4 linked regions of the Nothobranchius furzeri genome follow. The protein of the gene in region 1 interacts with the protein of each later gene in a pairwise test. Links are inferred from orthologs where the notes say so. Each region holds a gene or a part of one and is shown on either strand. Other genes may lie near its edges. The genes, in order: shc1, insulin-like growth factor 1 receptor, insrb and shcbp1.

Region 1 (8,219 bases):
TTTTTGTCAGCATCAGTGAAGATACCTGGAAAAATCTGTCGATAACGGTGGAAAACTCTGGAAAAACCAGTGACTCCGCCCCCTAGCCAACCAGTGAGCAATGGTCGCCAGCGTTGTGTTTTCAGCCTGGCTTGGTTCGCTTAGAACCACATTTAAGCGGGTCCTGAAAACAGGGTGTCAAGAATTGACCTGCTAATGGAAATGGCCTGGAGATGGGTTGAGCAGTGCTGAGTGGGTACTGGTGGGAAAAGCCCACTAGTGAAGAACCAGTTTGGTTCATTAAGACAGAATTTTTTGCCCTTTGTTTTAAGCTGAATGCAAAAATACTACCATGGACGACACAGTTTAAAACAAAATGGTTTCTGATTTCCAACAAAGGGATTATATAAAGCTGCTAGCTGAAAACTTGTGACTCATAAGAGCCGAATCTCTCAGGTCCAGATTTATGTCTAATGGATTCCTCCCCTAAAGACGTGACTTTCAGTTACCGCTCTTCTGCTATTGACAGTTTTTTAGGCCTCACACTCACTTTATCCTACGCTTGTCTACTTTCCCAATCATTTAGGCAAACACTGGACAATGTGCTCTCTCGGTACAAGAGCTGGACTGAAAATGGGGTTAAAAAAAAAAAAAAAGCCAAAGTCCAGAAATACACTTCAAGGTTTTTTAGAAACTGCATAGAAATCTTGAATGAGACAACTTCAATGACTACCAGGAACTCTGGTTCCTAGAACCAAGAACGTACAGAAGTTAAGGCCGGTTTAAGCCGGTACTGCAGGATAAAACGAGGGCGGAGAAAGTTGTGTTTACTCTCACCTGGTGACCTGAGTTCTGGTGTTGAAGTCCAGTGCTCTCATTGACTGTAGCACCTCCACACAACCCATGTACTGCCCAGGAAACAGGAAGGGGACACATTCAGACCAGACATTTCCTACACGTGGGCCAATTTTAGCAATGGCAGACTGAGAAAACAAGCTGAGGTAGAAAGGAATTGTACACTTTGCGTGATACAAAGATATTGGAAAAAATTTACAATGATAAGCTGGAAAAATTTGTAGAAAAAAATGGCATTTTATTAGACAGTCAGTATGGTTTCAGATCAGGTAGATCTACTGCACAAGCTCTAATGGAATTGGTTGAAGACATATCCACATCGCTTGATCAGAAAAAATATGTTCTGGGAATTAGAGCCCTGCACTGAAGCCCTAGGCCCTCGGGTCGGCCCGGCCCGACGGCCCGAGGGCCGGGCTTCGGGCCAACGACTGTGTAATTACCTCGGACACGGGCCGGGCCGGGCGCCTTTTATTTTTAATCAAAATCATTAAAAAAATTAAAACACTTAAACGCAGCAGTAGAGCCCTGTGCGGGACTGTTTTCTTCACCCCGCTCCCACTGAATTTCTGACCATTACAGCCTGCAACCGCAACGTGTGTGTTACACTCCCGCCCTCACCTGCAGCGTGCATGTCTACTCCTGCCCGCAACCGCAAAACTCGGAGAAATTATTACCTCACAATAAAAGAGATGTATTGAGTTTGCGTCCTCAACATGACATTTTATAGGTTATCCGCTTTCACCGCAGCGCTGCGCTCCGTTTCAATCAGGCTGTACAGCAGGATTTCCCCTCTTAGCGATATTTTATCTAACTCTGATTGCTTCATGCTATAGATCGTTGGAAAGCTGCTTTGATGTACTTTTAGGAACCGTTGGAATTATTTGAATCTGATCAGCCATTCAAAAGTTATAAAACGGAGCATTTTGGATGACAAACTCAGCACGTCTCTGAATCTGTGTTGTGGTTTGTTGCGCTCAAGACAGGGAATCCCGGTGGCTACCATAATGTATTGTATGTGCACGAAAAGCCCCATTTTTAATCTTTTCAGCACTTTTGGAATTTTAATGATATCTTGAACTAGAGCAGGGATCGGCAACCCGCAGCTCTTCCATCCATCTGATGCGGCTCTCTGTGCTTGTAAAATAATGAATGGATATTTAAATAAAATGCTTTATATTTTACTGCATTAATTTTATATCTGTAAGTCAATTCTATGTGAAGATTGTCTGCGTAAACCTGAACAGGTCCAACCCAGTCTTACTGTGAGACCGTGTTGGGTCACGCTTGTGCGTAATCATATGCGCTCATGAGCTGAAGAGGATGTGAGATTCTGGGATTCTCCTCAGACGGCTCCTGGATGTGTCGCACATTGGAGACAGGAACAAGCGCTATTCAGCCAAAGTTTCATAATCAGGGAACATTTTCTAAGTGACAAGTCTCTCTGAGAGACAGGGTTTGGAAAACACTCGCTTCAGTGGAAGTAAGCTTCCCGCATGCGCTTCTGCGACGCTCGGATCCTGCACGTCTTTTAACACATTGGTCAGGATTGACGCACTTTGTTTTCATTTAGTTGGTTAAAAAAAAGTCGGGCTTGGGCTCGGGCCGGGCCAGAGAATCCTGAAAACCTTTTTGGGCCGGGTCGGGCTGGGGCTCCACCCCCTCGGGCCGGGCCGGACACGGGCTCAGATTTTAGGCCCGTGCAGGGCTCTACTGGGAATTTTTATTGATTTGAAGAAAGCCTTTGATACAGTCGATCACAAAATACTTTTATCAAAAATGGAGAAGTGTGGTATAAGGGAGACAGCTCTCAATTGGCTAAAAAGTTATTTGAGTAACAGAGCTCAGTATGTGCAGTTGGGCTATCACAAGTCTAGCTGTCTCGAAGTTCACTGTGGAGTTCCGCAAGGGTCGGTACTTGGCCCAAAGTTATTTCTGTTATATATAAATGATATTTACACAACTTCAAAATTATTTAAATTTATTATGTTTGCTGATGATACAAATATTTTGTGTTCAGCAGAAGATATACAGCAACTTATACTAAAGGTCCAGAATGAATTGAGTGAGCTTAAGAATTGGTTTGATAAAAACAAACTGTCGTTAAATGTCAGCAAAACAAAGTTGATGTTATTTGGAAATAAAAGAAGTAGTAAAGAAATCTATTTGACTGTTAATGAAATAGCCATTGAAAGAGTGTATGAAATTAAGTTTTTGGGGATATTGATTGATCATAAGCTCTGTTGGAAGCCATACATACAATATGTGTGTTCTAAATTAGCCAGAAGCATTGGAATAATAAATAAAACAAGATATTCTCTACCACAGAAAGCACTACACACACTTTATTGTACTATGATTCTACCATACTTATCATATTGTGTCGAAGTATGGGGCAATACTTATAAATCTAATTTATTAAAGATTTGTGTTCTCCAAAAAAGAGTGGTAAGGATAATTATAAATTCTGGATATAGAGATCATACAACTCCATTATTCTACAATTTAAGATTACTCAAATTTTTTGACTTAATTCAATTTAAAACTGTCCTTGTACCGTATAGGGCCATGATGGGTGTACTGCCGTGTAATTTGCAAAGGTTGTTTAAAACTCATGAAGAGGGTTATGAATTGAGAGGCGTTAAAAACTTCATTTTTCCATTATACCGAACAACTATGAAAAGTATGTGTGTATCTGTATGTGGTATCAAACTGTGGAACAAACTTGATGTGACTTTAAAATTATGTAAAAACATTAGATCATTTAAAATGTTGTATAAACAACTCATAATTGACTCATACGTAAATAGCAAGTGATAAAAATGGTAATTGGCTTCAAATGGAATATTTTGTTTTTGTTGTTTATTGGTTTTGTTTTCTTTTTTCTGTAGATTCATGTGAACAATTGTTTTGTAACTGTCTTTTTATGTAGCAACTAGCAAGGTGAAGATAGAACGACCTGCATAAAGAATTTTTTTTTTCTTTCAAATTTGTTAATGTGAGCAAATGTGATTTATTAACTGAATTGGGGCTGGACTAGATAAGCTTTTGCTTCTTCCAGTTCCCTCTCAAATGGTTTTATGTTATTGTATGTTTTGTATTGTTTCATTCAACAGCATATGTTTATCGTATTCCTCATTTAAAAAAAAAAAAATTTTTTTTTGTATGCACCAGGAATATGGGGGAGTGCATATGCAATTTCATGTTTTCGATGGTTTGAGATAAATAAATAAATAAAAAATAATAATAAAAATACAGGCTGGACAGTTGAAGTGTGCCACTCACTCACCCGAACAGTATAGGAAACTCCCGTGGTGCTGATCACGTTGTCAGAATGCAGCCAGCCACGGGTGGGCTTGTTGACAAAGGAGCCATGGCGCGTCCACTCGTCTCCTCCCAGCTGCCCTCCTTCCACCCGTGCCCTCCTGGACGCTCCTCCGAGCCGGTTCATGTCCTGCAGAGGAGGTCGGCGAGGGGGAGAGGGAGCAGTTAGTGTGGGAATGGGTTGATGAAGAGTAGGGGAGGAGCTAGAGTTGCTCCTATCATCTCCAGATGACTCAACAGGTGCCTGGGACTGCTGAGACCTGTTTGAGAACCTGGGCACTGGGAGAAGAGTGCCAGTGACCCCGAGACGAAGGGATCTCATACTGGGGAAGAAGGAGCAGAGGGTGGTGGGGCTGTTCTCAGCTGGGCGCGGGGAGGTGGGGGGCAAAATGGCAGTGAGAGACGAGGAGGAGAAGGAAGAAGGCAAACCAGGGGAGGGAGTCAGAGGGGTGGCGGGGCTGGATGGAGGGAACGGCGACGGAATGGAGTTGGTCTCATCTGTTGAGCTCAGCGACTCACTCCGAATGTGGGTGTACTTGGTTTTCTGCATGAGCTCCATCATGTATTATTTATAGGTCCTCTTAGGCTGCAGAGCTTCAAGCCAAGTCTTTTTGTCTCACGACTCAAAGTTTTTCTCTGGAAGGACACTCAAGTATCTGTCTGTGTAGGAGCTGCGTCCATCTGTCCGCCGCTCAGGCAGCCCGCACCAAACCGCTTCACAACTGGCTTTATCCACACTGAGAGCAGGAGGAGAGGAGGTGCTGCGGAAAGGTGGGGCCTCCTCAGCAGCGGTGGGGAGCAGATGAAAAAAGTGTTGTAGAGCACCAGAACAGCTCATGTTGTCATCAGTTTCTTTTGGTGTTTTTTGCTTTTGTTCGCCGAGTTCCCCTGAATGGACGAAAACACGTTCTCAGCTCTCCGTAGAGCGATGGTCTTCAGCCACGATGCTAAACGATTTCTCGTCCCAACTTAATCGTCTCCGAGTGCCGGACGACTATTCAGCTGTCGCCAGCACCACGACGAACCAACACAAGTGATTGTCTCTGAATGCTCCTTGTGCGTGTGTGTGTGTGTGTGTGTGTGTGTGTGTGTGTGTGTTACTGCACAAAAAGGTGTGTACATCAGTTTGTGACGCGTCTACATGGCAGTGTAAACCGAGTGTGTGTGCGTGTGTGTAGCAGCTCCCCTTTGGCAGCTCTATCACGCTTGACATAGGCCTGTAAAATTCCTATTAGCAGCCAACAAGGGGATTGCAGAAGGGGCTGCACACGCTAACACAGCAGCAACACATAAAACACAACCTCGGCTGGTCGATAATACAGCGAACACCTGCAGAGCCACGGAAGAAGAGAGAGGAGGCTCTCAAACTCTGCAGTCGTGCAGTCGCTTCAACTTTTCACGACTATTCTTAAATCTGGCTCCCCTTTCTACTCCCTCTCCCCCTTCGTCCAGATGCTTTCATGTCCTCTCTGAATGGCCCTTGCTCTCTCCCTCCCAACGTCTCCTTCTTCTCTCCTCTTCCAGATCACTTCTGGTGAAGACTCCCTTCCCTTCTCTGAGCTCTTCCCTCCCTTCTCTCTTTCTCCTCTCTTATCCTGGAAGTCCTCTCTCTTCCTCCACACGATGTACTCTGCCAGCCTCTGCTTCTCCAACGCCTCCGCCCTCTCCCGTGCCACCACTTCCTCTCTCCTCTTCCAAACGATCTCTCGGTCCCCCTCTCCCCCTCCCTCGATTGCTCGCCCGTTCTCCAGGCTGCCTTGTTTAACAGTCCCACACTTGTATGCTAAATACTGAGCCCTGTCGTTGCGCCTCTTTACGTTAAGGACCGCGGATGGCTAGAGGCTAGACATGTTGGCTTTAGACGCCGATATAAAACCAAAAGAAAGTGAAAAGTTAGTAATTAAGACTGGGCTTAGAGCTGAGCCCGTTCCTGACTGAGGTTCCTGAAATGGCCTGCCTTGGTTCGTGTGTTCTGTAGAACTGGCCACCTTGGTCACGGTGTGTTTTGTTGCTGGAGCACCATTTGATCGTGGTAAAGTTGAGTCTGAGATGTCTGTCTGGTACAGCGAGACACACTGCAGTAGCACAGTGGTGATGTAACACGGCAGAATGTAGGTCATAGGATGACGATGACTACCGGTGGGCCTGTTGAGACGATAACAAGCCCTGATTGGTCAGGCTTGGACCCCCAACTTAGGGTTCCCTGAATGGAGACCCACTGGTGTTGTAAATGAACCCGCTGGGTTAAGACTGCACTCAGCTCCTGACTCGGTACTAGCATGGACACAGATTATAGTTGTTTACCTGAGAGAACAGTATTGACACCGATATGAACGAATCGCCGTGCTATAATCCAGAACAGCGTCCCTATTTTTCTAAGGCTTATCAAGCAAGTTAAGCCCACAAGCATCTCATATTCTGCATAGTCCAATCTAAAGTACAGTCTGTTTTATTAATAGTCTCCAAAGTGACCTCAGTAGGAGGCAAGGCCACACCTACAACCCTCAGCCAGCCGGCTGGCCTACACCTTAGTGCTGTAGAGGCATTATTCAAACGTACAACACACCAACCTTTACAATCACCAACAAATGACACACTTATTATCCAGACAAGTCAAATTAAGGTTGTGAGTATGGCACTGATGTCTCAGTAATGCCAACACTTCCTGTTGTCATTTCAGAAATGAGCCACAGCGCTCGAGGCTGTAGAAGGCGCTGGACGCATGGCAGAAGGAACAGTCGCCTACATTAGTCTAGCACCACAGAGGGACTGTCCAGCAGTTCTAGCGATCCCTCCATCTGGTCTTGGCCAGGAAGCACCAGGAAGGATCCAGTAAATGCACTGCCAGAGAGGCTGGGATGTTCTCCAGAAAGCTGTAAAGAAGTATGGCTGACACCCAGTGTTTAGACCATCAAAGGGACGCAGAATACTTCAAAACAAAACAGTCGGTCATACAGCTAGAGAAACCAAAGATGAGCACAGAGAGAAGATTAGCACTTCAAAAAGGCAACAGATCGGATAAACGGAGGAAACTCCAGGTGTTGTTGAACAAAGGGCTGCTGAAAGGCCCTCTGAGCAGAGTCAACCCTCTGGTTTTTGTTTGTTTCAGTACACAGAACACAGTGTAGGTCAGGTGACTACAAAGGGCATGACCCTGGACACCAAGAGGAATCCTCCTGAGTCACCGTCACATGAACAGTAAGCGTAACGAACCGTCACCAACAGGACAGCTAATGAGTGGTAATCAGAGGCCTTGGGGCCAAGCAGCTGCTCCCACTGATGTGAACAAGAGAAATCAGAGTGTTAATCTAATTTATCCAGTCACGCCTGATAATAGCTCATCAGCCTGACTGATGAGAACGGCTGTTGCCATTAAAAGTGGGCGGAGCTGAAACAACCCTGAACACAGCTGAAAATATACAAAAACGGTAAAAAAAAATCTACGTTTTGTTTTATAAAAACCTAAAAAGCATCGTAAGAACCTATCTTAACCACAGACTACTCTAGCCTATGGAACAGTTAGCTAATGGACCAGCACTAGGCGGTGTCAAAAGACAAGAAAAAGACTTTACATCTTCTGTCTGCCGCCGCTGCCCGTTGCTATGGCAACAGACATTAAAAGAGATGCCTGCATAGGATATGTGCCGAGAAGTCCCGACAAGGGTGGGAATCTTCAAAGAGATTACTGTTTTTTTTTCTTTTACAACCCTATGGCAAGCAATTAGCTGTTGCAGCAAACACTTTTTTGTTTGCTTGTTTGTTTGTCTGACAGCAGGAGAAAAAACAACAACTAGAAAAGATCAATACGGTTCAGGAGATGATCAAAGTTTGACCGGCATCACGTCGGCCATAAAACCAAATCAATGTTGACATCCCAGACTGGCTGGACGCCCTGACAACAACCAGGGCACGTAAAAGCGATGTAATCTCAAAGGCTGATTATCGTTTCCCTAATAGCCGTATAAAAAACAGCTACACTACAGTCACATATCCAAAACAACCAAGGTTAAGAAAAGTTGCATAAAAACAACCTGAATATTCTGTGCAGCTGCTAAAAAAAGACG
Region 2 (8,295 bases), on another chromosome or scaffold:
GCTCATGTAAAACATGTCATGTCTTGAAAGAATCGGAATCGAAACGAGGAATCGTTCAAAATCAAACGATGCCCAACCCTACACCAGACTGTGACATGCATGAAACTAGAGAGCTTCCATCTCATCCACATGTTCCTGCAACTATTGTGTACGACCAAAAGACCAGGAATAATGGCTTTGCCTGTGTCTGTGTCCACTACAGCTAATGAACATCAACATTTACACAAAAAAAAAAAAAAGATTTAACTGAGTCAGTTTTACAGATACTGAGCTAAGTTTTATGTGAAAGTAGATGAAAGCTGTCACCAACACAAAGAGACAGAGCAAACCGATCACACACAATTTGAGACTGGACATAAAGTTGTTTAAGATTTAAACAAAACAGCCTTAAGTAGATTATTTCTCAACATAAGATCTTTTTCGTTGAAATCTCAGTATTACAATGGAAAGACCTAAGAAACTAAATTAACTCATTTTATAGCGACATCATCGACAACTCTTTACAAGCAGCACACCGATGTGTTTCTGATGAAAACCAACAAGCAGATTGAGTTCCGAGTCACTTAACACAAACATAAAGGTGTCACGTCATCATATCATGGATATGGGAAGATGATACTTTTTTACTGTGTTAAAAGTTAAACCAGTATTACAGTAGATAATACGGCCCAGCCCAAGGGTGTTCCTACAAGTAGCAGCTGCTTGTTCTCGATTTCCAAAATACATTGTGCCTAAATTTATGACGTGGTTTTTTTCTTTAGAATTAAACTGGGCTTTACTCTGGATGTGTAACACAATACATGCGTTTCACCTGAACCTCAGCGACGCAGCGCTTCCTACCAGGAGCTTTTCAGACACGTAGTGACTGCAAATGTATTTCATGCTGCTACCCCCGCAAAATCACAGGAGAATAGCTAAATCTTGCGTGATTTAGCCCGTTTATACAATAACAAACAAGGAGAAAGACGGCCTTTTCCGGATGAATTTTACAAAACTAGAAACAAAAGGGTTTTTTTAAATAAAGTTTAAAAGGATTTCTTAAAAGCCGATGTTTCCTGAACTTGATAATAAATATAAATTTTCTTTAATGGTTGAAGCTATGCAAATACAGAGGAATGGTATAGGACATTTTTGTTTGTCTATGTGTTTATGTGCTTCTCCCAAAGAAATGAGGGTATTTGTTGTGATTTATTGCAGAGGGTGTACTTGCGTGGTTCTTTTATCTCTCTCTATAATCTTCTAGTCAGCAGCAGCCTTCAGCGGGCTGCATACCTGTTAATACACCACCAACACGCGGGCCTGTAAAAAGACACGCTGCCGAGTGACGTTACATCACCACAGACTTGATGCTTCACCCACTGTGGCCTCTCTGCAGCACCGGCATGGCTATCTTTCATGAGAGCTGCTGCTGATTGTTCCTGAGACAATCCTAAACAGGAGACTAATAATGTACATCTTTGCACCAGCTACATGAAAACACAAGTGGCAGGTGTGGTGGCTTATTAACTCCCCCTCCCTCTACTTCCACATAGACAGACTTCAAACAGCTGAGTACACAAACCTATCTCTGCAGCTTTGATGAGCTTCCAGATCACATATTTACTTTTGATAACCTTTCCGGGGCTGGCTGCAGGACCCAGACAGTCCACAGACAATCAGAGGAAATCTACAAGTAACTCCATAAAACACAAAATACGACCCAATATGCTCTCCAAGCGGCGCATCTCTCACTGCCACTAGACTGCAGTAAGACTGTTTACCCCTCATTTCCATCATGTTCATGACAGGATCCCCGCGGGGGAAAACGTATTCATAAATACTTTTCCACTTGAGAGGTAAGGTGAGAAGAAAATTCACTGGAAAGCCTAAACAAAAGATCATTCTCAGCAGAATGGAAGGGAACGTGTCCGGGTTGATCTGGGAGGGGACGAACCTGCTACCAGCCCTGTAGTCCGGCCCGCTGCTGCAAACCAGCAAGAATTCTCAAAGTTTAGCCACACCAGAAACATTCAGCCAGCTCTGAGCCAGGTTTAGACGAAACACCAGGATGGGAGAACCTCTCTGCTGCTCCCAGGTTCTGTAACCGCCGGGGCGAACAGTAAACCCCATGACACACAGTCCACAAGCTCCACACTCTTCCAAATCAACAGAACTTAGTCTGTTTTGCTTGTGAGTGTTCTTTGGCTTGTTCTATTTAAAAACCCAGACCCTGGTTCAACCCAGTAAACCACACCTCCCCAGTTCGTCATGATGAATGAGAATGAATCAGAAAGCCCAGTTTAAGGTTGGAAACATTTCAGGTGGCAACACATAAAACAAATGTTTGAATGAATAAAGAAGCTTTGAGTTAATCAAAGGTGACGGTTTAACAAGATGTCTGAGGCCATCAGACTATACGTCTTGTCATTTTCTGTCAGTGGAAAAGATATATTCTTTGTTTTAGGTCAAACCGGTCACCACTTGTCTGAGCTGTTGAAATTTCGAAGAGAAGCGCAGCTTACACGAAGCAAAAATGCACATTCAGCCCTAATAACCTGAGCGCTTTTGGCTGAAATGATTTGCCTATTGGGAAGATTTGGTGTGTCTGATAATTAGCTGCATCAGTCGGCCATTAACACAATTCAAGGTCAAGATGGATTGTTTGGCTAAAGAAATGAAAAATGTGAGAAAAGGGTATATTGAGACTACTGGGTAAAGTTCATACACTTCTCCGGTTTAATCCATCTTGAAGGTAAAAATGTAAACATAAGAAACATCTGTAAAGCTGAACAAGCAAAAAACATAAAATCTATCCAATTGTGAAAAGTAGGAAAAGATGGTAAACAGATGCAGAGTTCCCCTTTACCCCCTCCCTAGTCTGAAAGCGTATTTCACACTGGACCCAGTCAAAATGTCCCAACCTTTCCTGGTAGCGGTTCCTGTGGAAGTAAGATACCGTTAACATATCTCTTAACTCAAACGCATCACAATGCTGACTCAGGCATGACAGTGAAACCTGGGTGACTTTCACCACCGCATGACTCAGGACGAATTTAAAATTAAGCTAATCTGACTCACGATAACATCTAAACAAATATGTTTCAATATTAAAACCGCAACGCTCATTTAAAGTGTGTTAAATCTTACCACTGCAATAAAGATTGGATTTCACAACATTTTATTACATGAAAACTTCTATATGAGATTAGTTCAAATTAAAGTTATACTAATAAGAGTAGAGGTGCGATACTACCAAAACAGAGATTGTAGAATCATCTGGAGCACGTTTAAGGAAAAGGTGATTAGAATTTGTCAAATAATATTAGCTGAAATATTTTTTCTTTTAGGGCTGTTTATACAAGGACATTGTGTGGTTGTATTTGCTTACAAAAGAATAGTTTAGAAAAAACTAGTAAAAAATTATTTAAATTATTATTTCACCATTCAAAAACTGATTTATTTTATATCACCATATTTCACTGCTATATTTATGATAAAATAACAAAACTATAAATAAAAATTAAACATTTTATCTATGACTGCAGCTTGCAGGTCGCACCTTTTATTACTTGAAACTCATTTATCATCTTTTAGTCTCTATTATAAATTGTGCGGGATGACAGTCCATTGATAAAACTGCTCAATAAACTGTCACTTAATAAATTACAGCGCACACTCTGAATATAAATGTGCTTCACGACATATCGCAATTATTGCGATATTACAGTTAATTCGGTATTATTGTGAACATTTGACACCAGTTTCCATGCAAATGTGTTGTGTCTAATTTAACAGCACCTGAACTTAACCAGTTCAATTATGAACATTTAAAACGTGATTTTAAAACAGACTCGGTTGTTAATTTGTTTGGTGTTTGGACTGAGATGCATGCCAATCCTGTTTTCTGGGTGTAATTTGAGTTGGAGCGTGGAAAAACATCGTGTCCAAGTGAGCAGCAGTACTTACTCTCTGCGGTGGCGGGCCGAAGGCAGGACAGACACAGCATCAGACCCCAAAACAAGGTCAAGCGGCTCCCTTCCATCCCACACCTCATCCCTGCTAACCCAAGTCCCGCTGAAATCTTGTTTTTACTCTAATATTGGAGGAAGATGGTCGGAATGGTTAAAAACGGCTTTTAATCTGCAGCCTTGTAGCCGTTAGCCGGCTAATGGGGCTAATAGCTACAACAAACAGAGCAGGGACGCTGTCTCACGTTTCCCAATGGGAGTCCAGTCCTAAATTACCAATTTATCCCGCCGTCCAAACAGCGTGTACTCATAGTTCACCTTATCCTTGCCAAACACAGCCCCGCATCCAAGTGTTCAATGAAACCATATCGACTAAACTAGCGGTGGGGATTCCTCGGTAATCCACATCTTCCCACTCCATATCAGGAGGAAAAAACAGTCAACGTGCCGCCGCTGCTGGATGGTCTCTTTGGGAACAGCAACGAGACCACCCCTGAAACCGGACTTGGAAAAGGTGGACCGGGACACACGTTTAAACACGGCCTGGTTGTGTTAACGACACGACGTCTCTTTCGAAATTTCCAGGATAAAATCTGGTTGCAGACCGCAGCCTCCTCTCCTCCTCCTCAGCCGGTCAACACACACTGCGTTGTTGTGGTGGCCCCGATTCACCTCCCCGCAAACCAAAAACAACGCGCCTATTCGCCCCTGTTGCTTCGGTTGAGGCCAAATATGTTTGCTGCGTGTCGTTCTCCGTAGGTAGATAGCAGAACGGGCTCGGTAACTGGACAGATTAATGCACAGGTACACGCACGGTCTCCCTCGGTCAGTCTGCAGTCTTCTGCGTTCGCTGTAAACACGGCGCCGTGGCCAGAGATCGTCTGTGACGAAAAGATGTATCACTCCAAATCTGAGGAAAAGCAGGGCGTCGCTACTACTGCAGTTCAGACGCCGAAGGGAACCAGTTGCCATGGTGATCGGCCTCTTAATCACCACCAGTTGTCTCCTGATGTCGTTTCATGCATACATTCCACACAATAACCCCTTAATTTTACATAAAACATACCAAAGAGTCTTTATTATTTCTGTACTGAAATCATTACAAAAAATCGTCCTCATTAGTTACAGAGAGTAGGGCTTTGATGTTACTAAATAATTAAAGAATAGACGAAAATAACGTGGTTTTACAAAAACGTTACATTTCTGTGTTGATTCGGGGCCCTAAACAATCCCCTATTTGCGTTTTGAAAATCAGACAGAGTGAGACCTCTCAACTCCACTCTGCCGAGACCACTCTTTTTTTACGAGACTGTGCAAAGCAAATCCGTGATGCTGATCCAGGATCAGATTTGTTTTCCTGCTAACAAATGCACATTGGAGTGCCACAAGGATTGAGCGTGCTCGACTGCGCACGTGAAAATGCTTTATGGGGGGTTGCCCTTTCATGGTTGGTGCGATCATTTAGGATCCAGTTGGTCTGATGATCGGTTAATATCTTTTAAAAGCTCCAGGAATGTTTCCCTAGATCCAGTAGAATATTCCAACCCTTAACATTGTCTTTTTTGTATTTTGCCACCTTTTAGACCTATTTCAAATAATTAAATTCTTGTTTTTTATTATAATAAACTTAATTAATTGAATGTAAATTAAAAATCGCATTTAACATTGAATCTAGAAATATGTTTTATTCTATTGTTAACAGGGGCGGACTGGCCATCTGTGGGTTCTGGAGAATCACAGAACGGCCGGTACCCCAGGACGGCCGGTGGGCCGGCCCACCACTCTCCACCGCTTTCAACACCTGTTTCCCCCACCCCCGAAAGCTCTTTCACGCTCCAGCACTCTAGGTGGCAGCACTGCACCTGTAAGTTGGATGCCAGCTACATTGGCTGTGGCCGCCAGGCAAGGAGAAGAAGAAGCTGAAGCGGAGAGGAGGCAAAGGCAGTGGTAGAAAAAAAAACGATGCAAAACCCGACCGCTCGTTTTAAAAGGAAAGACAATGGTGGGGCAGAGAAGGCAAGAGAAAAAATTGCGGGCATTAGATGCTGAAGCCTCTAAATGTCACAAATTAACCGACATATTTAGCAGCACAGCCAGCAGCAGCACCTCGCAGCAGGTTCACAGCAGCGAAGAAGCACACAGCAACATGCCAGCAGTAATGAGGGACAGAAAGATGCGCTGGTTCCACAGGCAGATCCAGGGGAAGTAAGTATGGAATGTAAGAGGAGAAACATTTGCAAGGATTGATGTTAGGAATTCATGTTTAGGTTGCAATTTTATTTTATGATAACAGCTAAATTTCAACCTTTTAGCTGTAAAAGGCCACATGCAGTAAGAAATATGCTGTGGTTTTACGTAAAAAGGTTGGTAGTGGTGTTACAGTTAATGCTCACAAACTTTGAAAATCTTAAATACAGAAGTTACATTTGCAATGTTGCATTTTCATTTAGATGTGGTTTATTAGTGCAGTAAGAAGATTAATTACTGCATAAACTATTAAGCTTATCAGTAATACAGCTTTTAATACAGCATATAGTTAAATTATAGCAACATTAGCGCTGTTGCTATAATTTTGATGGTTTGGCCACATATGTTTGCTGCCGAATTTCTGCGCGCCGATTTCTTTGGGCCGGGCCTAGTCAAAGTCCAGGGCTGTTTTTTAGTCCCAGTCCGTCCCTGATTGTAAAGAAAAACCGAGATACCAACTGATACGACACTTAATGAAGTGTTGAAACAGAGTTGTTTTAACATTCACACCTGGGTATTATTTAAAATGCCATGAGTCATCAACTCTGAAACAAACAGGTTTAAATATCTAAAATGGAGTCACAACATAACAGCATGTGAAGGAAAGCATAAATCACCTCCCTGTGGTAAAACATGGCAATGGAAGCATCATAATGTGGGGATGCAACAGGCTGGGAGACTAGAAAAATAGATTCAGGCTGCAGTAAAAGTAGCAGCAAGTATGGACACACGGTTCACAAACTGTGTGAGAGAAGTAGAAAATATTCACGTTTCAATTAATGATTAGTATTTTTCTAAATTATCTGCTGAAATATTGCATCATTTGGTATGGCCTCTGAAGCCGAGGTGAATCTACTACATTAACATTGAACTCTTTTTATGGAAAATGCACGGAATTGGCGCCATCTTGAGGAGGAAAGAAGTAACTGCAGCCATGCCGTTGGCAAAACAAGGTAGAGGTGAAGTTGATCCGAATAAGAATGGATCGTCTTTTGATAAATAGCTGATACATTTTTTATATTTTGGAGGCTGTTATTTGTGCGAATGTAGACTTGTCAAACTTTATTATTAATAATTTTAGTTTTCTGCAGCATATGGAAGTGTCAGCTCACAAAACCAACACAGTCTCGTAGCACCCTTGTTATCCAGATGTATGTGGAGGTTAAACAGTACCCACAGTGGACTTGATCCATCTGATCTGGATCAGGCAGGTACACTTGTAGTGATGTTTGGAGGTTTGCTAGCCCAACCTGAGGAGGTAGAGACCAGCAGTCTGTGAGGCCATAAGAGAAGCAGACAGTAAACACAAACATCCATAGAGGAGCCTCTCACAGTTTTGATTATCCCTGTAATTACAGGCTGCTTTCATCACTCCACGGAGCTGAGCACAGAGGTATTATTTGAACGCCACACATTACCTCAGCCCTGGCAGACAGCACCCAGCATCCGTCACAGTCTGACAATTAGCAGCAAGAGAAAAAGGGGGGGATGCACATTAAAAATTGAAGTGAGTATTAACAGCCACCCAAGAGTCTAGATACAGCGAGTCAGCCTGTAACAAACGGTCTCTGTACCAACATGACCCCACTGTGCCAGAGAATGTTGTGCCTGTCCACTTGCATTTGTTAAGTCCCGATTAAAGTCCTCATGAAGGCAGCCGGCAGGCCCACCTACCTCGACTGTCCCGGTGAAATCCATTCTCACTCTGCACTCATGTGGAAATAAGCCTGTTTACCACCGGCGGGTCACACATGCTAATGAGCGTCTGTTTGTTTTCCAGTGTGCTCACGCGGGAGGAAAGGAATTCAGGGAGGAAATAATAGACGATATGCAGACAACAACCCAGGTGGCCCTGGCTGCAGCTCTAGTGATGAGAGCTTACAGGAAATGTGCTCAGACTGTGTTTATTATAACCATATCAGAGTAGTGGCATAGCTGGAGGTCAGTGCATGTTTCACACAGGTCACTCATTCACTTGTAATGAGCTCCCAGTTAAGATGCGGTCCTAGAATCACCTACATGGGTCTGGTCTTTAGTTCCCTGGTCCTTATGGAGGCCTTTTAAGGTTTCTGAAGCAGACTTCTTCTCAGTTTTAAATGTC
Region 3 (7,620 bases), on another chromosome or scaffold:
ATTTGTGATATCACAAACAGGGACCTTTTGAAACGGATTGTTTTAGGCAAATAATTCCTAAAACTAAACATTTTCCCCATGTTAGGATTTTTTATAAAGACAGTAGAGACCCACATGGCAGCACAAAAAGATGCAAAAAGTGTTATGTCCCCTTTAACAAATGCAAACAAATACCAAAAGTTTAGTTAAGTTAGAGATGGAGTCTCCAGTCTTACGATTAGGCATGAAGAAGTACGTCGTTTCTGTAAAAGAGCCGTTTCCTGCCAGCGACGTAGCCCGAACCCTCACGCTGTAGTTTCCAGGGTGAACAAGGTGGAGCTTGGTCCCGCTCATGTTGACGTAAGCCGGCCGTGACACACAAACTGTGTGAACCTGGAAGAACGTATGAAAAACACAGTTTAGCATCAGTGAGGGCGACAGGAAAAGCAGCTACTTCACCCAAACCATAAAAATGGATTTAGCAAAGAGAATATGGAAATGGTCATTTAGCAAAATATGCTGAACATGTACGCAGCTTTAAAAACACCAATAGGTGAGAAGGAAATGCTTCACTGAATTTCAATAATTCTCTTGACCTATGAGGTAGAAAATTTTTTTGTGACTATCTAGTCTGACTTCTGCTGTTCACCCGAGTCACTTGTTTGGTTTCTTTTATACTAGTCAGAAAAACAGCTTGGTTTTATAGTTGATGGAGAAGTTGGTAGAATTTATAGTAAATGGACACATTTTTTTTGCCCATCCAGTGATATTTTTTTTAATAATCATAATTATACCAATAATAACCTAAATGAAAAATGCATCGGTTGTTTGAAAGAGCTAAAGTTTGCAATGCTTTCAGAGTAGTGCAGTGGAGATGCACCTCCATCACTGCTGCATTAGAGCCTTCTGCTTCTGTTACTATAGCAACAGAGTTGCTGATGGTGGTGCAGCAATGAATAGCAGTGAGATTATTTACACATTTGCTGCAAGTAAACAACAACACTGAACACACATGCTGTTGCACACACAGTCAAAGTTCAACACGGACACACCCACCCACTAGAAAGCGTTAGTGTGTACACAAAAACAAGTTTACATAGTAATAGAAACAATCACCAATTGTCTTATGGTACATTCTTAAAAATAGGAGACAAACAATTGCCACACAACATCAAAATTGTCAGCTGACCCTTTCAGACCATGTCTGATCCTCTCCAGGTCCAAATGATTCATAATTTCTCCAATAAAGTGGTTGAGGCCGAGCATCTTTCCACTCGGACAGGATGGCTCACAAATAGCATAAAGCTATTATGTGCTGTTGGCTACCATCTGCTGTATCGTCCACTGTGACCACCACAAACAGAGCAGTCAAGGGGTCAGGGTGCACAGTGGTCGCACAAATCCTAGAGAGTTCATCAAAATTGGGCCTCCAATATCCCTGTCGTGTCAGGCAGGTCCAGAACAAGTTGGGTCTAAGTCTGGCTTCATTATTGCAGTCTGTCTTTGGACCAAAGCAAATGGTGCACCACTTTGAGCTAAATAATACTGTGTCTCACGTCTTGTGCCAGGCCTTTTCTGACAATCCAACACCCAGGTCCAGCTCCCATTTCTGTTTTGAAACGTCCGGACTGATCCGATGGTGTGAGCTGAGCCAGGCGTCACCTTTACTCAAAACCTTAGATGTCCGGCAGTCCAAGATCTCATCGAGTAGAGTCCGAGATGAGCACAGGAAGGCATTCAGAATGAGATTTGACAAAGTTTCTCAGTTACGGCCACAGCCATTTGTTTTTCTTTTGGTGCATGCTCCTCTTTCCCTTCTGATTTCATCCTTGTGCTGAGAGGCGCTATTCTACAACAGCTGTCTCATCCCACTCTACCTCGCTCCGCCCTAAAGCACCCAGTTCACAATCGGCCTAAAACACGCCTGGACCCACCCTCAGCGAGGAGCAAACGGAGACATCTGTCTCTGGCCTGCTGTCTCCTCAGCATGCTTTGTATCCTTTTTTGTAGTCGGTATGTGTTTTGTGTGTTTTATCCAAATTATCGAAGGTGGGGGAGTCCTTAATTAGATGTGTGTGTAGTGTAGTTTTAATCTGCGTTGTTTGGGTAAAGGTTTATGCCTGACGTCAGGAGCACTCCATGTTACCGTGTTGTTGACACGTACCTCTGTGTCTCCGACCTTCTTGTAGAAAACCTCGTAAAGGATGATGAGTCCATTGGGTGATCGAGGCGCGTTCCACTTAATCAACACGTAGGGAGGTTCAGCGACCACAACATCGTGAGTCACAGGACCTGGGATATCGTCTGCTTTTTCTGCCAGAGCCACACAAAGACAGAAACATTTGAGCAAACTGATCTCTACCTAGCATTTTGCACCCGTGATGATGGTATACTTTGTGTTTTTTTATGTGACCAATGCACAAGCGGGTGTCATTTGATCAAAATCAAACTAAAAGTAAATCTGTATGTTTAGATGAAGCAAAAATAGTTTGATATCTCACCTTCTGGCATCGTTCGGGCACTGACGTAAGTCGCCAGGCTGCAGCGTTTGGGGTCTTCAGGGTGGTTGCAGGCCATGATCTCGATGGTGTAGCTGGTGAAATGGTGCAAGTTGGATATGACTGCTGACTCCTTAGAGGTAACATTCAGCTCCACCTGAGCAGGAAAATTATGGGATGGGATTCAAAATATATACAGATAAAAAGCATTTCTCTTTTACACAAAAATAATTTTTTGCAAGGTGTTTTAATTTTTTTTTTCTAAAAAAACTTAAAAGCCGTTTTAGTTGAACTTGTAGGCAAACACTAATCTATAACAGATTTCATTCAGTGTTGTAGACCTTGGATCCCTCTTCGTTCTCGTCTTCCTCTGTAGATGAGGCGGTGGTGGAGCCAAGCTGCAGACTAGATATCGTTGTAAAAAATAAGGGAAACTGTGTTGTGTCCGGTTTGTCCACTGAGCGCCGTTCACGGGGCGACCTGGATGAAAAACAGAAATTATCAAAATGAATAAGATCCAAGACCAAGGGGCTGAGATCAGAGGACAGGAATGTTATTTTGCAGATGAAAAATGGAGCAGCTATAAAGGGAAACCAACAAGTGATGAGGTCATGACATTTATTCAATGTTGGTGGAGCAAACAACTCTTTCCGCTGTGTGGCGCCAGTGAGCAAAACTTCTTCCACCAGCAGCAGTTTTCACTAAAACCACGGATGCCATCAGCTCAAAGCTCCATCAAAAACTAACACCTTGGCGTGCCGAGAGGTGGAGGACTGGGTTGAAGCTGATGATTTCTTTGCTTAGTGGACTAAAAAAGAACAGCGATGGTTGTTTGGACCAAAGACCAGTTCAAAATCACAGGATCAAAATGAATCTGAGGAGTGTGTGAGGCGGTGTTTGTGTCTCCAAAGGGCTGTCTGCATGACTGCTTCTCTGACCGGCGTGGATGATAATGGGCACGGTAATCACTCCCCCAAAGAGGCAGATAGGAAAAAAATGACAGTGTGTGTGTGTGTGTGTGTGTGTGTGTGTGTAGAATTAAAGTTCAAATACACAAAACCTCCCATTCTGAGCCCCCATAGAGATGTTCAGTACAAAAACAAGGGTCTACAGAGAACACACACACACACACACACACACACACACACACACACACACACACACACACACACACACACACACACACACACACACAACACACACACACACACACACACACACACACACACACACACACACAAACACACACACACACACACACACACACACACACACACACACACACACACACACAAAAGAACCTTGGCTGAGATGACACCCACCACCAACACAAGGTCAGTTGTAAACCCCCTTTAGGGTGCGCTGTGTGTGCTACATTGTTACCGAGCTGTAAATGCTGCACCCTGACCAGAACGGTGAAATTGCAGCTTCTCCAAAAATAAAACAGACGGCTAAAACGCGATCTTCACCCTGAGGTGTCTAGACTTGCTTACCTGCTCTCAAAGACTTCGTTATGGAGGTAATTCTCAAAAGTCTTGCGGTATTCTATTTCCTGTTGTTGCTTTTCTATCTGGCTCTTTGTCATGGGACAGGCACAACATTTGCCCTCTGAGGTGGGATCATCCGTGTGGTTCCATTTCTGCTCTTCTTCGAGGTCGAGGTGGGTTGGAATTCGAGATGGAAGCTTCATCCCTGGACAGGAGGAGCATGGGTGAGGCGAAAGCCTGACAAAAGATGGAGACAAGCAGCGGCCGAGCCAGCTGGAGACAAACCTTGTAAGCAGTAGTCAAACTTAAAGAGGTCACTGTCCTCTGGTTGTTTACGACAGATGACCCGGTAGTGGGTGATGTTGCCGTTGGGGCTGTTTGGCGGTTTCCACTTCAGGATGATTTGAGAGGAGGAGTTGGAGGATGAGATGGGGTCCAGAGGTACAGAAGGTCCTGGAGGAAAAAGAAACGGTTAATCCTGCTGCCTTCAGTTCAGAGATTAGGACAGTTTGAACCACACCAAACAAAAGCAGAAAATCTCAGATTTGAACTCACGGGAGGCATTAGTGCGGACATAAATGATTTTGCTTTTGGCTCCATAAACCTGTCGCTCATCAGAAGCAGACAGCTGGGTTTTGACCATGATGGCGTACTGCGTCCAGGGTTTCAATGGACGAATCAGGTGCCCAGGATCATCGGCCTTCTTGCCATCTGTGGAGCGGGCTGGTGGATCTACGTCTGCGATCACCCAGCTGTTTGATCCACAGGCGTCCTGTCCATCAAACTCTGTCACATTCCTGTACGGACTGAAGTAGAAGCAGCCAAGTTTAAACCAGCTCATTCAGCATCATCATTTCAAAGATGGGGGCATTAAGTGTAATGTTTATACTCCAGGGCCATTTGCGTGTAGGAATCCAACTTACGCCTCCTTGTAGAGAACCATAAATCCCAGCAGGTCCCTGTAGTCCGAGGGCCAGAATGAGTTCCACTTCAACATAATCATGTTGTGTGACGTCTTAACGTGGGTGAAATTCAGACTCTTTGATTCGCCTAAGACAAAACAACTCGTCAGACACATCCAGCAAGTTGAATCTGGATGAAGTTTAAGCTTGTGGGTAAAGATTTTAAGGTTTCATGGGTTTTTGTTTCTTGGTACGTTACTGAAGTAGAAAAATAATACAAATGTAAAGGGAGTGATGAGGTGGATGTGTTAGTAGAGGCTCCAGAGGTTCTTACAGGAAGCCTGGTCTCCGTTGGTGCGAAGAGCAATGTCGTTCTTCTGGTTGCGCTCTTTGGTTCCAGTTACCTCCTCCATCTTGGTGATTTCAGACATGCAAAGCTTGGAGTTGTAGTGGAAGAACGTACGACCGTGCTCTATTGTCAGGTTGTGTTTGGACCAGTCCCACAGCTGACGGAGGTTCTGGTTGTCCAGTGCGTAGAAGGCATAAATACTAAGGAGAAACAAGGCGATAAAGAAGTTAAACATAAAGAACGATAGAAAACTGTAGCTGAAGGTAAAAGGGGAGGAACTTACTCTCCTTCGAGTTGTTCCCCCTTGATGAGGCGTAGTTTTCGTAGGAAGGAGAGGGAGACCAAGGCGTAGGCTCTGCGTATGCTCAGGTAACCTCTGATCTCCTCAATCTGTCCCAGACTGGCCTCCAACTCAGCTGCTATGTTATCTGCAAGAGTTCAAGTAAAGACAGGAGGTCAGGATGAAAGACCAGAAGTCACAGACACGTGCAACGCTACTTACTTCCACCTCGGATCTTAATGATCACGTTGCCTTCAATAACGGTGCAGCCTCGTAAAGCCTGAGCCGAAGTCACAGAGTCAATGGTTTTATTTCCTTTACACTCTTTAGGACAGGGGCCCGCGCACGGCTTACACATCAGCCTGCACACACAGAAGGAGAACAGATTAATGACAAATTCATTAAGACCAAGGAAGAAAAACATCAACAGGCTTGTGTTCAGTTATCAGAAATGGAACAAGGAAAACCAACTGGTAGGAAGGCTTGGGAAATTTAACTCCACGGCTCAATCTACGAAGCAGATTTCCACTTTTCTCCTCGCGTTACGTCTAAAAACGCAAAGCGGCACCTGAATGAACGACGACTCCAAAATCAAAAAGGAGAGAGCTTCTCTGACGTAGTTTGGAAAAATCATCTAACAAATAACATCAGATTCAACTTGCTCTTCTCCACATCAGTGCTTTAGAAACTACACAAAAACAACATGGCTGCAGTTCCCAACAGCCTCTTTGGTACGTAACATCCTCCCCCTTGCAAACATGCACTGCATCACATACCCAAACACACCCTCTGCGCCATCAGGTCTTCACACAGGGATGGTCAGGATAAGAACATCTTGTCGTCTGATGAGTGAACACGCTGTACGGCAAGCAGTGGGATGCTTTATTCACAAATACGCACTTTGTCTCCTAAAACCCCCTGAAGGACATGATCCGTTTTATTTTGTTCTGCATAAAGCTGCACATGCAACAGGGATTTATCACTCAGGAGAAAGGAAAAAGTTATGGTCACATTTGTCTAATAATTTTAAAAAAAAGGCGACAATTCAGGCAAGAGCCTGATTAGTAGAGGATTTAAATCAGCATTTAATAGTTTTAAGCTGAGCAGACTGCTGTTCATGTGAAAACCTCGGTCTCATCTTCACACCCTTACCAGAACAACACCCCCACTTTCCCCCCTATAACATCTACACCCTCGTTATTTAGTCCAAGTGATGCCACTTGGATCCAAATGGTCTTTCACACTCCTGGCGCCTCAGTTTCCATCTCATCAAACTCTGAATAAATCACCGCAGTCAGAAGCCAACTCGTCGGTTCCTCTCTGAGCTTTTGTGTGAGAGGAGACAAAAGTAACAAGCTCCCCAAACAATAACTAATACAAAAAATTTGAAGGGTAGGTTGTCTGTTTTTCCCACATGGAAAATGCTATATCCAGCTTCTCCAAAGTAACGCTCCAGTTGCGGCACAGAAAGGGAGAATGTTTTGGGCTGCTGCACTGAAAACACAGACTCACAGGCAGACAGGCTGGCTTTTTAAAGGGCCGGTGTTTATCTGAACCCTGTGACTCCGGGGTCTGTTAGAGCCATCCAGAGCACTGTCTACAGCTGACGCTCAAGGTTCGGTCTCGGCCAAACCCTGACCGAACCCGACCAGCTGTGAGTGTGCGTGAACGTTGTCAGGTTGTCCAAAAAAGAAGGCCGAAATCACCTCAAACAGTACACGAGTGTAGATACATTAGAAAACATTAGCTAAATCTGTTTAATGAAAAGCGTCTGAAGGGAAAGTCAAGAACATCCCAAAGAGGATCCAAGCAGGAACATCTGGTCCCTACAAATAAATGAAGTCACCGCTCGCAGATCAATGAACGTTTATTATTCAGATTTATTGTTCGACTTAAGAGGGTTGGACTCAGCCCGAGGGAAGTTTCCAACAATGATCTTTAATCTTAAGCGCTCATTAGGGGAATAGATTTGAACTTTTCAAAGCGAATTCTGTCTTGTTGCAAAGAAAATGAGCAGCTTAGCAAGGTAGCTAACTAAGTTTTACACAGTTCCAGTCCGAATTTAATAACATTTTCTGTCTTTATCTAACTGGAGTTTATAAAACAGTATTTTTATTAACCACCA
Region 4 (8,272 bases), on another chromosome or scaffold:
TGTGAACAATTTGTTATTTGGAGTTCCGTTTTACATTAATGATATATATTTTTTACAGTATTATGACACCCACATTTTTTGAGACTCCTGTCCTCTGTCTTCCGGCCAGGGAGGAGCAAACACAGCGAAAGAAACATGGAGGGACAGAACGTAAACTGCGGGACAAGTGTGGGTGTTTAATCTCATTATAAAAAGTGTCTGTGTTAAACGCCCCCCACAGGTGCCACTCACGGTGCTCAGAACCGTTTCGCTGCTGTGCGGGAGATGTGTGTGTTACATTCGTGGACCGTTTCACTGCCATGAGAGTGTGGAAGGGGGTAATAGCGCACGAAGAGTTTCAGTGCCGTGCGTCGGTCGTGAAAGCGGGGTTGTTTGGTGGGGTGATTACATAGCCGTGGCGCTGTGCCACGCCTGAGCCTATGTAGGGCAAACACCGAGCCATTCTGTTATACAATCTCAGGATGAATTTAAAGTCACGTTTGTTTTATGTCTGATCTTTTCCGCTCGATTCCATTCATTTAAAATCACTTGATCGGGTCCAATTTGTGATCACATGATCAGATCGGAGCAGCTCTAGGAAGAAGCAATGTTCACTGACGGAAACCACGAGGATTTAACAAACTGGAGAAAACTAGCACCGTGAGTTTCAGACCAGGAGCGAGTCCAGGTGGATGACTCGTAGACGTGGAGATACTGACCTGGATCTCGGTGTCCTCAGTCGAGCACAGAGGCATCAGCCGTGCACTGAGGAGGGACTGGAGCAGGACGGTGCAGCAGGATTCTGTCACCACATGAACCACCTTCAGACCCGATGATCTGAGCCCACGGCTCTGTAGGTTTTGCTGCCAGGAGTTTCCTTTGTAAGCCAGGACATACCTGTGGGAGAGTCGGGTTCATGTGTGGAGGGATGGTTATTAGACAGTAGGGAGGGACGTGAGAGGGAGGACAAAGGACAGAGTACCTCAACAGGGGGTTCTCAATGATGCGGAGCTTTCTTTTGAATGTCTCCAGCTGGTCGTAGAGCTTCAGGCCCTCCACCATGGACACGTTGTCCAGCTCCGAGTCGGAGTCAACGCTGAGGCTGCTGCGTAGCTGTGAAAACTGCTGGAAGCACTTGGAACAGTTTTCCAGTAAGGAGCGGTACTCCGCCACCAGGCCGACAGGGACTCTGTCCTCCAGGATGTCGTAGAAACTAAGAAAGATTTTAAAATGTGATTCAGGAATAGGGACAAATATTCACAGGTAGAACTTATCCCAGAAGCTCTGGATCTTCTCACAGTCTCAGACGAGGCTCCACACAGCGGACAAAATAGTCAAAGTCGTCATCTTCATCCTCCTCATCCCACTCCCTCCAGATGTGTTTATAGAAAAAACTGCAAAAGAGAAAACACTGTCGCCAAGCACGTGAAACCGGTGCAGTCCCATTCAGCAGAGACCTACCGGAGGTGTTCAAGAGCCAGAGCGGTCTGAACAAAGTCCCCAGACTCATCATATACCACCTGCAGCTCCTGCAGGTGAACTTTGTACTGAGTGGCTTCTAGCAGAGAGAGCATGGCCTCCTCAGTGATCTCACAGCCTCTGGTGACACACTTCAGAGGCAGCGAGAGCTCCACCCAGGCTTTCAGATTCTTCAGGTCCAAATCGGTCACCTGGAACAGAATCATACAGAAGAGCTGCAGAAAACCTGCAGTAATGGAGTTTAGATTCACATGCAACTGCTCTCACCTCCACCAGGACGTCAAACGCATCTGTGCACCATAAGGCCATCCAGTCACACGGCTCCAGCACCTTCTCCAGGTAGTCTGCTGTGAAAGCCTTCACTTCTGAGGGCTTACAATCCCCTACACACACACAAACACAGAACAACCAGTCAAAATAGACCCAAACACAGTGATCATGCTGGAGCTTCAGGTACCAAGCATGTAGTCCTGGTAGGCCTTGAACCGCTCGTAGAACAGCAAGCTGCTGGTCTGGAAGGTGTCCGGAAGGCTTGAGCGCCCTCCTTCATGGTGCTCACACCTCTGCAGCTGGGTTCCCGACTTCTCACCGCTTAAGTGGTCTGTGCCACTGTCATCATCATCCTCCTCCTCCTCCTCATCAGCAGCCTCTTTGTCTTCATTCTGAAACAGGACTGCAGGGATACATCATGTTATTCTGGGTGACACACACACACACACACACACACACACACACACACAAAGTTCAGCTTTAATCATTTTCATTCTATACAAAATCTGCTGCTTTTAGCAGCATTAATGTCAGCTGATCGGTTATCGGCCACAACAGTGATGTTGGTATCGGCACACAAATGTCATATCGGTGCTTCCAGACACTAGGTTACTAAGACTGCTCCAGAATTTGACTCCTAGAACTGAAACTCATAAATAATTAGCCCTCATCTAGCTAAGATCATTCATAAAGGGAGCCTAAGGCTCCTCCCCTTGGATCAGCTCATGGGTCCCTGAACGAGGCGATAGAAGATGCTGGTCCGCTTTGCCTCACTAGCACGTATGTTGTACTTCAGTTTGATCATTTGAAGTCATATACTTTACGACGTCTCCACTGGTGGAGCTGCTACTCACCACATGGAGATTTTAGCGGTTATCTCCTGGTTTAATGCTCCGTCTTGCTCTGGCATCTGTATGTTGGTTCTAAATTAATCTCTTCTGTGTGTCTGGTTTGATGACGTCAGCTTAGTGAGACATACATTTGTAGTCCTCTACGTTTTTTCACACAAAACCTAAAATAACTTTTGCCGCCACTGGAGAATAAGCATGTTCTTGGCATATATATTAAAAGAGTTTAGTGCATTTGTTAGAAGAGTTTGTGGCGACTGTAATAGCTTCTTCAAGGTGTAAATATTGGATCCATTTTGTTTTTAATCCATTTCTCATGTTTCAACACAACAAGCTGTAGAAAATACTTCAGATCATAATGAATTATGTTATAACGCTGTTTACCCATCACAACTACAAATGTTATTACACTCAGTTCTGCACCATTTAAACATTATAGTTGTTTTTAACATCATAAACTTACTTTTATGTAATGATCTTGTTCAGCAGTTTTGAACTGTAATCATTCCTCTTTTGGGTGTTTTTAATAAACTCTTGAACAGAACAAGTTAAGGTTATTATCCCCAAAAGTGGGGCATTTGCACAGTCATGGCAGAAAGTGGACAGTATAAAATAAAAGCAACAAAAGAATGAAAACTATAACAACGGAGAAGTACACTAGTTCACTAAACAGGCAGCCATCTACAAATATAAGTATTAATATGTGTGAGTGTGTAGAAAATAAAAGGTATGTGTATGTAAATTTTTAAATTTGATAAATATATGTATATACACAGAGTTTTATATGTACATACGTTGATATGAGAAAATTGCGCGCCTGAAGTATACAAAGATTAAACATAAACGTTTATAGTGCATTGGATGTGAGTGTTTATTAATCCGTGTGCGTGGTCAAGAAAAGTAATATAGCAGCAACAGAACACCTTTTTTTAATAAACAACAGCATAACACACAGCCAACAGCTGGTTGGCATTAGCCTAACTAAACATCTAGTCCAGACCTTGAGTTGTGTCCGCTTCGGAGGAGCCGCTTCCAGCCTCCAGCTCGGCTGTAACGGTGGAGTCTAGGTCCACCACCACCATGTCCGACATGTCACTAACTCTACACGTTGGTTCCCCTTGTTCTAGCTCCATGGAGACTAACCGATGTTTATTTTAACGGAGCAAAACGCACACACCCAGCTCAGCTCTGTTCCACTAACGCGATCAATAGCGTCAGACACTCACTTTTAAAATATCCCGGTCAGAAAGTCGACAGCCAATCAGGAGTTAGTTTTCTTCTTCTTCCTTGGCGGTTGGACGGCAGTCTGGATTCCATCTTGCTGAATTGCCGCCCCCTATCGTGTTGTCAAGGTCTAGTAGCTTAAACAGATTATTTATCCTCATGCACCGTCCCACGGGTTTAGAAAGTTACTGTTTAATTTCATCATCTCTGTTCAATCAACTCGCAGCTTAATCTAACTCACTCATTCAGCTCTGCCTAAAACAAATCTTTCAGAAGTCGTTCACACGAGGAACCGCCGGGGGGCAGCAGCTCCTTTGTGAGCACACCCACAAACAAGAACCATAGAAGAAGCCAAAATAATGTTCCCGAGGAAGCAGCTAGCAGGTAAATGCACTAAAAGCAAACGTTGCTATCCGTTTCACTTTAACCGAACAGCTAAACAGACGTCTTAAACACAACGTGACGTGAACGGGCTCTTTGGATGCTGATCATAATCGAACTAAGTCGCTAAACAGCGACGCATTAGCTTGCTAACACCTGAGGTTTAAAACAAAAACAATTCTGTGGTTGAAATAAGCTGTAAGAAACGTGTTAGGGAAAATAAATAATGTCGAAAATCCGAGTAAACAACAGCAAAAATGTGGTTTTACTTATGTTTATAATACGTTTATATGTCTGGTTTTACCTGTCAGGCAGTTTCCTAAAGTAATGCTTGTTCCTCCATTAAGAGGTGTGTTACCGTATTTACCAGAGTAGAGGTGCACGGAGCAGGTCCCGTTTAAGAAAGAGGGATTCCTCCCAACAATCACCGTTACTTCATAAAGTAAAAGCGTTAGAGTAATCCTGCCTAGGTGTTGTAGCAGATTAAAGACGCTCAGAGACCAGAACATGCGCCAACTTCAGTCTGGGAACATGGACGTTTAAACTCCAGCCTGTCATGGAGGTTGTGGGGAGAACGCATGTGCTAAGGTGTGTAATTCTTTTTGTGGATCTTTTGTCCTTTCAGAATGAGCCTCCTCTCGTCATCACCACTTGGTTTATTTCACTGAGCTTCTGTGTTGGTGTAAAGATGTCCGAGCGGGAACAGGTCAGAGACGACGGTGGGGTGTTTCAGAGCGACGATGTGCTTGAGCTGTCACCCAGCCACGAGTCTGAAGCTGAAGAAGCACCCAGCAGGGCTCCTTTTGACCCAGAGCTGGACCACAGTGATGATGAGGAGGAGGTGGAGGCCAGTGGTCCAGCTCCTATCGCTACGTTCACCCTGACTGGAGGGAACTCCGCCTTCTCCTACCGCAGCCGCAGCATCTTTGACTGTCTGGACACTGTTGACAGGAAGACTGCGCCCAGTCTCAATCAGGAGACTTCCACAAACCGCAGGAAGACGAGTTGTCCTATGCCCACTTGTCCAACACCACCAAAGAAGAGAGGTGTGCCTGATTACTTGGCGCACCCGGAGCGTTGGACCCACTACAGTCTAGAGGACGTGACTGAGAGCAGCGATCAGGACAATAGGAGGACAGCCCACCAGTTCCTGTCCAGCCTGAGACAAGAGACAAATCGTGATCCCCCCTGCAACATCCAGAAGAAGATGATCTTCTCTAGACCAAACCGACCACCAAAAGATCTCATCACAGTGCAGCAGGGAAAGGAGAAGGAGCTACAGCTGAGCCATTTAGCCGAGGAGGAGGAGGAGGAGGATGAAGGCAAACGAAGAGAGGAGACCAGAGGACCAACCGTACTGGAGGATGAAGAAAAGGAGGTGAGTGGAGGTGTGGAGCCAGCAGAAGAGCAGACGATGGAGGAGTCCAGCCTTAGCTTCACCTCCTTCAGGAAGACTAAAACAAAAAACTACAGGAGAAGCTCAGAACAGGAGGATGACTGAAAGTCACTGATCCTGTCCCTGCTGCAGCACGACACCCAGAACCAGGTGAGAGCACAGAGGCCAGTCCCGACTCCAGTACAGCTCAGCAGACAGGTTCACAACATCTGGATGACTGTCCAAGCAGAGCTCAGCAGGCACAAACCCGGGGACCACTCAGAATCGTCCCTGAGAAACGGCGCTGACAACGTCTAGCGTGCTCGCTACCTGCAGCTCTACACCAGTCCTGCTGATGGCGCTGTTGTTATTAGCTACTGCTAATCAGAGGTGGCAGACACATCAGCATTCGACTGCTTCTGTCTGAAATGAAACCACATCACACAGTTTGAACCAACTTGTATGAAAGAAAATAAAAGTTTCTGCTTCCCACAAAAACTAAACACGTAAAAGTTTAAAGAGCAGATCCTCTTTAGCAGCTCGCTGTTGAGCCCGACCACGTTCAGAGTTGCTGTTTGATTCTGTCCCTGATCTCTGACAGGAACACGTGGCATGACCCGTTTCATCTGTCGGCTTTAATAAAGTTGGTGAAAGTCTTCAGGCTCGTCTGTTCATGTGAGGTCAGCTGCAGATAATCAACTCCAACACCGTCATCAATGCAGCTTTACAGCATGACAGCAAATGTTTTTAAAATGCACTTTTACTATGAAAACCTTACTAGGACTAGGAATGTGTTGAGAGGACGACGGCCACGGGGAGGAGCCAAAGCTGACTGCTGCAGCTGAGGTCTCCAGTCGAAAGGCTCAGAGTCCACAGGTCGTGTAAACGACTCGGAGCAGAAAACAAGCGTTTCAAAGGTGACCTGCAGAAACTGCTGTTCGGGAAGGACCTGTGGTCAGAAGCTGTCTGCATGAAATGGATCACTGTGTCCAAATGTCTCCAGGACTGAATCAACCTTGGTTAGTGTGGCAGGGTGGAGAAACGAGGGCCTGGGCGGGATTCGATCCCCAGACTCCGGGTGAGAGTCACGGGCGCTAACCAGTAGCCAGGACCAGTCGAGTCACGGTGACCCGACGCTCACACTGCCACATCAGGATGCAGACGATTTGAGGCGGGACCGTGCTCGGGTCATTACCTGTGTTTGCCTATCAGCTCAGCTGCAGTTACATTTATGATCTGAGCTTTGCATTTTGTCCTCTCGAGAGGACAAGGCCCCATAAAACTACTGGCTGCTTGTTTCTTATCAGAACCTACTGTTTCTGGTTCTCATGAACTGCAGTTGGGTCCATTTTAGCCAACAGAACAGAGCCTGGCTCATCGTGGTCACATGTTTACATCCCTCCCACTGGTGTCCCACAAGGCCAGTCCTCAGTCGGCATGACTGCAGATGTGACTGCCCTGGGAGATCTTCAAGCTAGTTGCTGACTCAACACGGGGGCGGAGCATAGGCTTTAAGTGGCAGCCCACCTACTGGAGAGGGACTGATGTTAATGAAAACACTGAACGACTGAGTCAGACTGACCTCAGCTTTAAACATTAAATTATTTCATCCTCTCGGGTTGAAATTGTGGTCCGGGGACGAGTCAGGAAGCCGTCACTGGTCCTTATGTATTCTGTAGATTTCATAAGGTGTATTGTTATTTTTTATTGTTTCCTGGTGATCAGAGGTTGTCTCCCTGTTATTATTCTGTTTATCTGTAGCACTGTGGCTGTCACCCACATGACCCCTCAAGTCTAAATGTTTTCTGGAGCCACCGATGCTGGTCAGATGTTTGGCTCCACGGCCTTTAAACGGGCACCTGTGTGCTCGTGGGGAGATAGCTCAGTTAAGCAGCTGAGTCACATTTACGTTGTCCTCTGGGCCAACAGTGAGCCCTAGCAGCGGTGCAGGTAAATGTGGGGATAACTCTAGGGCTGAAACTAACGATTATTTTCATAATCGATTAATCTGTCGATTATTTTTTCGATTAATCGGTTTGTTATTGTTTAGCTATTTAACCTATACAAGTGATGAATACATTTCAGTTAAGAAAAAGAAAAACATAAGAGAATTGTGCAGTTGACTACAATCTATTTTATTGCACATGACCACAGTCAGCAGTGTAAAATGAGCTAAACAGTGCAAAATATCAGTCCAGAATAACTTTTTGGCATCAAAATATAAGAGGTAAATTCCATAAAAAATAATGTAGAATCTGGAATAGAGTTTGTAAGTGGTATGAATTGCTGGGGGTGAGTGTCTTGTTCCCCATGTAGTTGTCCATCGTTGCTTGTTTTTTTCTGCATAAGAAACACAAATAGACTGAATTAAGTACACATATAAAATAAAGCAGCACACACACTACAACACTAAATCAATATTACATTATTTGAATTAATTAACAATATACAGTGATCATTTATTTTGACAAAAATGTGTTGTGAGGCGTTTTACAGCGTTAGATAGTAAAACAGCCTTTTAATAGTTAAAAAAAGGACTTTCTGAATTTCTCCTGTATTTAAAAATTGAAAGCGTACAACTATGCCGCGTTATATTCACCTGGACACAGCTCGTCTGTATATTTTTCTCCGCGGAGTTGTCCTTTTTTGAATGAGGAACACAGTTATGGGTTTGTGCCGTTTTTCTCTTAACGAGAACATTCTTATAAACAGACGT

What was found.
Region 2: the proteins of shc1 (region 1) and insulin-like growth factor 1 receptor interact in a two-hybrid assay, tested with the Homo sapiens proteins (4 studies listed by BioGRID and IntAct). The link is inferred for Nothobranchius furzeri from reciprocal best matches to the Homo sapiens genes SHC1 and IGF1R.
Region 3: the proteins of shc1 (region 1) and insrb interact in a two-hybrid assay, tested with the Homo sapiens proteins (2 studies listed by BioGRID and IntAct). The link is inferred for Nothobranchius furzeri from reciprocal best matches to the Homo sapiens genes SHC1 and INSR.
Region 4: the proteins of shc1 (region 1) and shcbp1 interact in a two-hybrid assay, tested with the Homo sapiens proteins (2 studies listed by BioGRID, with this or other methods). The link is inferred for Nothobranchius furzeri from reciprocal best matches to the Homo sapiens genes SHC1 and SHCBP1.

What each region holds. Positions count from the first base shown.
Region 1 is NC_091745.1:78,655,350-78,663,568, reverse strand, and holds the start of shc1 (SHC-transforming protein 1), read right to left. Parts: upstream 4,936-8,219; 5' UTR 4,718-4,935; coding exon 4,121-4,717; intron 888-4,120; coding exon 817-887; intron 1-816. UniProt on the Homo sapiens protein: Signaling adapter that couples activated growth factor receptors to signaling pathways. Participates in a signaling cascade initiated by activated KIT and KITLG/SCF.
Region 2 is NC_091749.1:29,601,655-29,609,949, reverse strand, and holds the start of insulin-like growth factor 1 receptor, read right to left. Parts: upstream 4,261-8,295; 5' UTR 4,034-4,260; coding exon 3,946-4,033; intron 1-3,945. UniProt on the Homo sapiens protein: Receptor tyrosine kinase which mediates actions of insulin-like growth factor 1 (IGF1). Binds IGF1 with high affinity and IGF2 and insulin (INS) with a lower affinity. The activated IGF1R is involved in cell growth and survival control.
Region 3 is NC_091748.1:58,174,889-58,182,508, reverse strand, and holds part of insrb (insulin receptor b), read right to left. Parts: intron 5,858-7,620; coding exon 5,718-5,857; intron 5,644-5,717; coding exon 5,499-5,643; intron 5,416-5,498; coding exon 5,201-5,415; intron 5,015-5,200; coding exon 4,888-5,014; intron 4,771-4,887; coding exon 4,520-4,770; intron 4,418-4,519; coding exon 4,250-4,417; intron 4,170-4,249; coding exon 3,971-4,169; intron 2,958-3,970; coding exon 2,819-2,957; intron 2,635-2,818; coding exon 2,481-2,634; intron 2,293-2,480; coding exon 2,144-2,292; intron 373-2,143; coding exon 216-372; intron 1-215. UniProt on the Homo sapiens protein: Receptor tyrosine kinase which mediates the pleiotropic actions of insulin.
Region 4 is NC_091749.1:8,722,295-8,730,566, reverse strand, and holds the start of shcbp1 (SHC SH2 domain-binding protein 1), read right to left. Parts: upstream 4,746-8,272; 5' UTR 4,691-4,745; coding exon 4,486-4,690; intron 4,185-4,485; exon of another isoform or gene 4,087-4,184; intron 4,034-4,086; exon of another isoform or gene 3,710-4,033; coding exon of another isoform or gene 3,577-3,709; intron 2,132-3,576; coding exon 1,916-2,131; intron 1,842-1,915; coding exon 1,726-1,841; intron 1,650-1,725; coding exon 1,441-1,649; intron 1,374-1,440; coding exon 1,278-1,373; intron 1,193-1,277; coding exon 962-1,192; intron 877-961; coding exon 699-876; intron 1-698. Other genes in the region: U5 small nuclear ribonucleoprotein TSSC4, read left to right, coding at 4,870-5,682. UniProt on the Homo sapiens protein: May play a role in signaling pathways governing cellular proliferation, cell growth and differentiation. May be a component of a novel signaling pathway downstream of Shc. Acts as a positive regulator of FGF signaling in neural progenitor cells.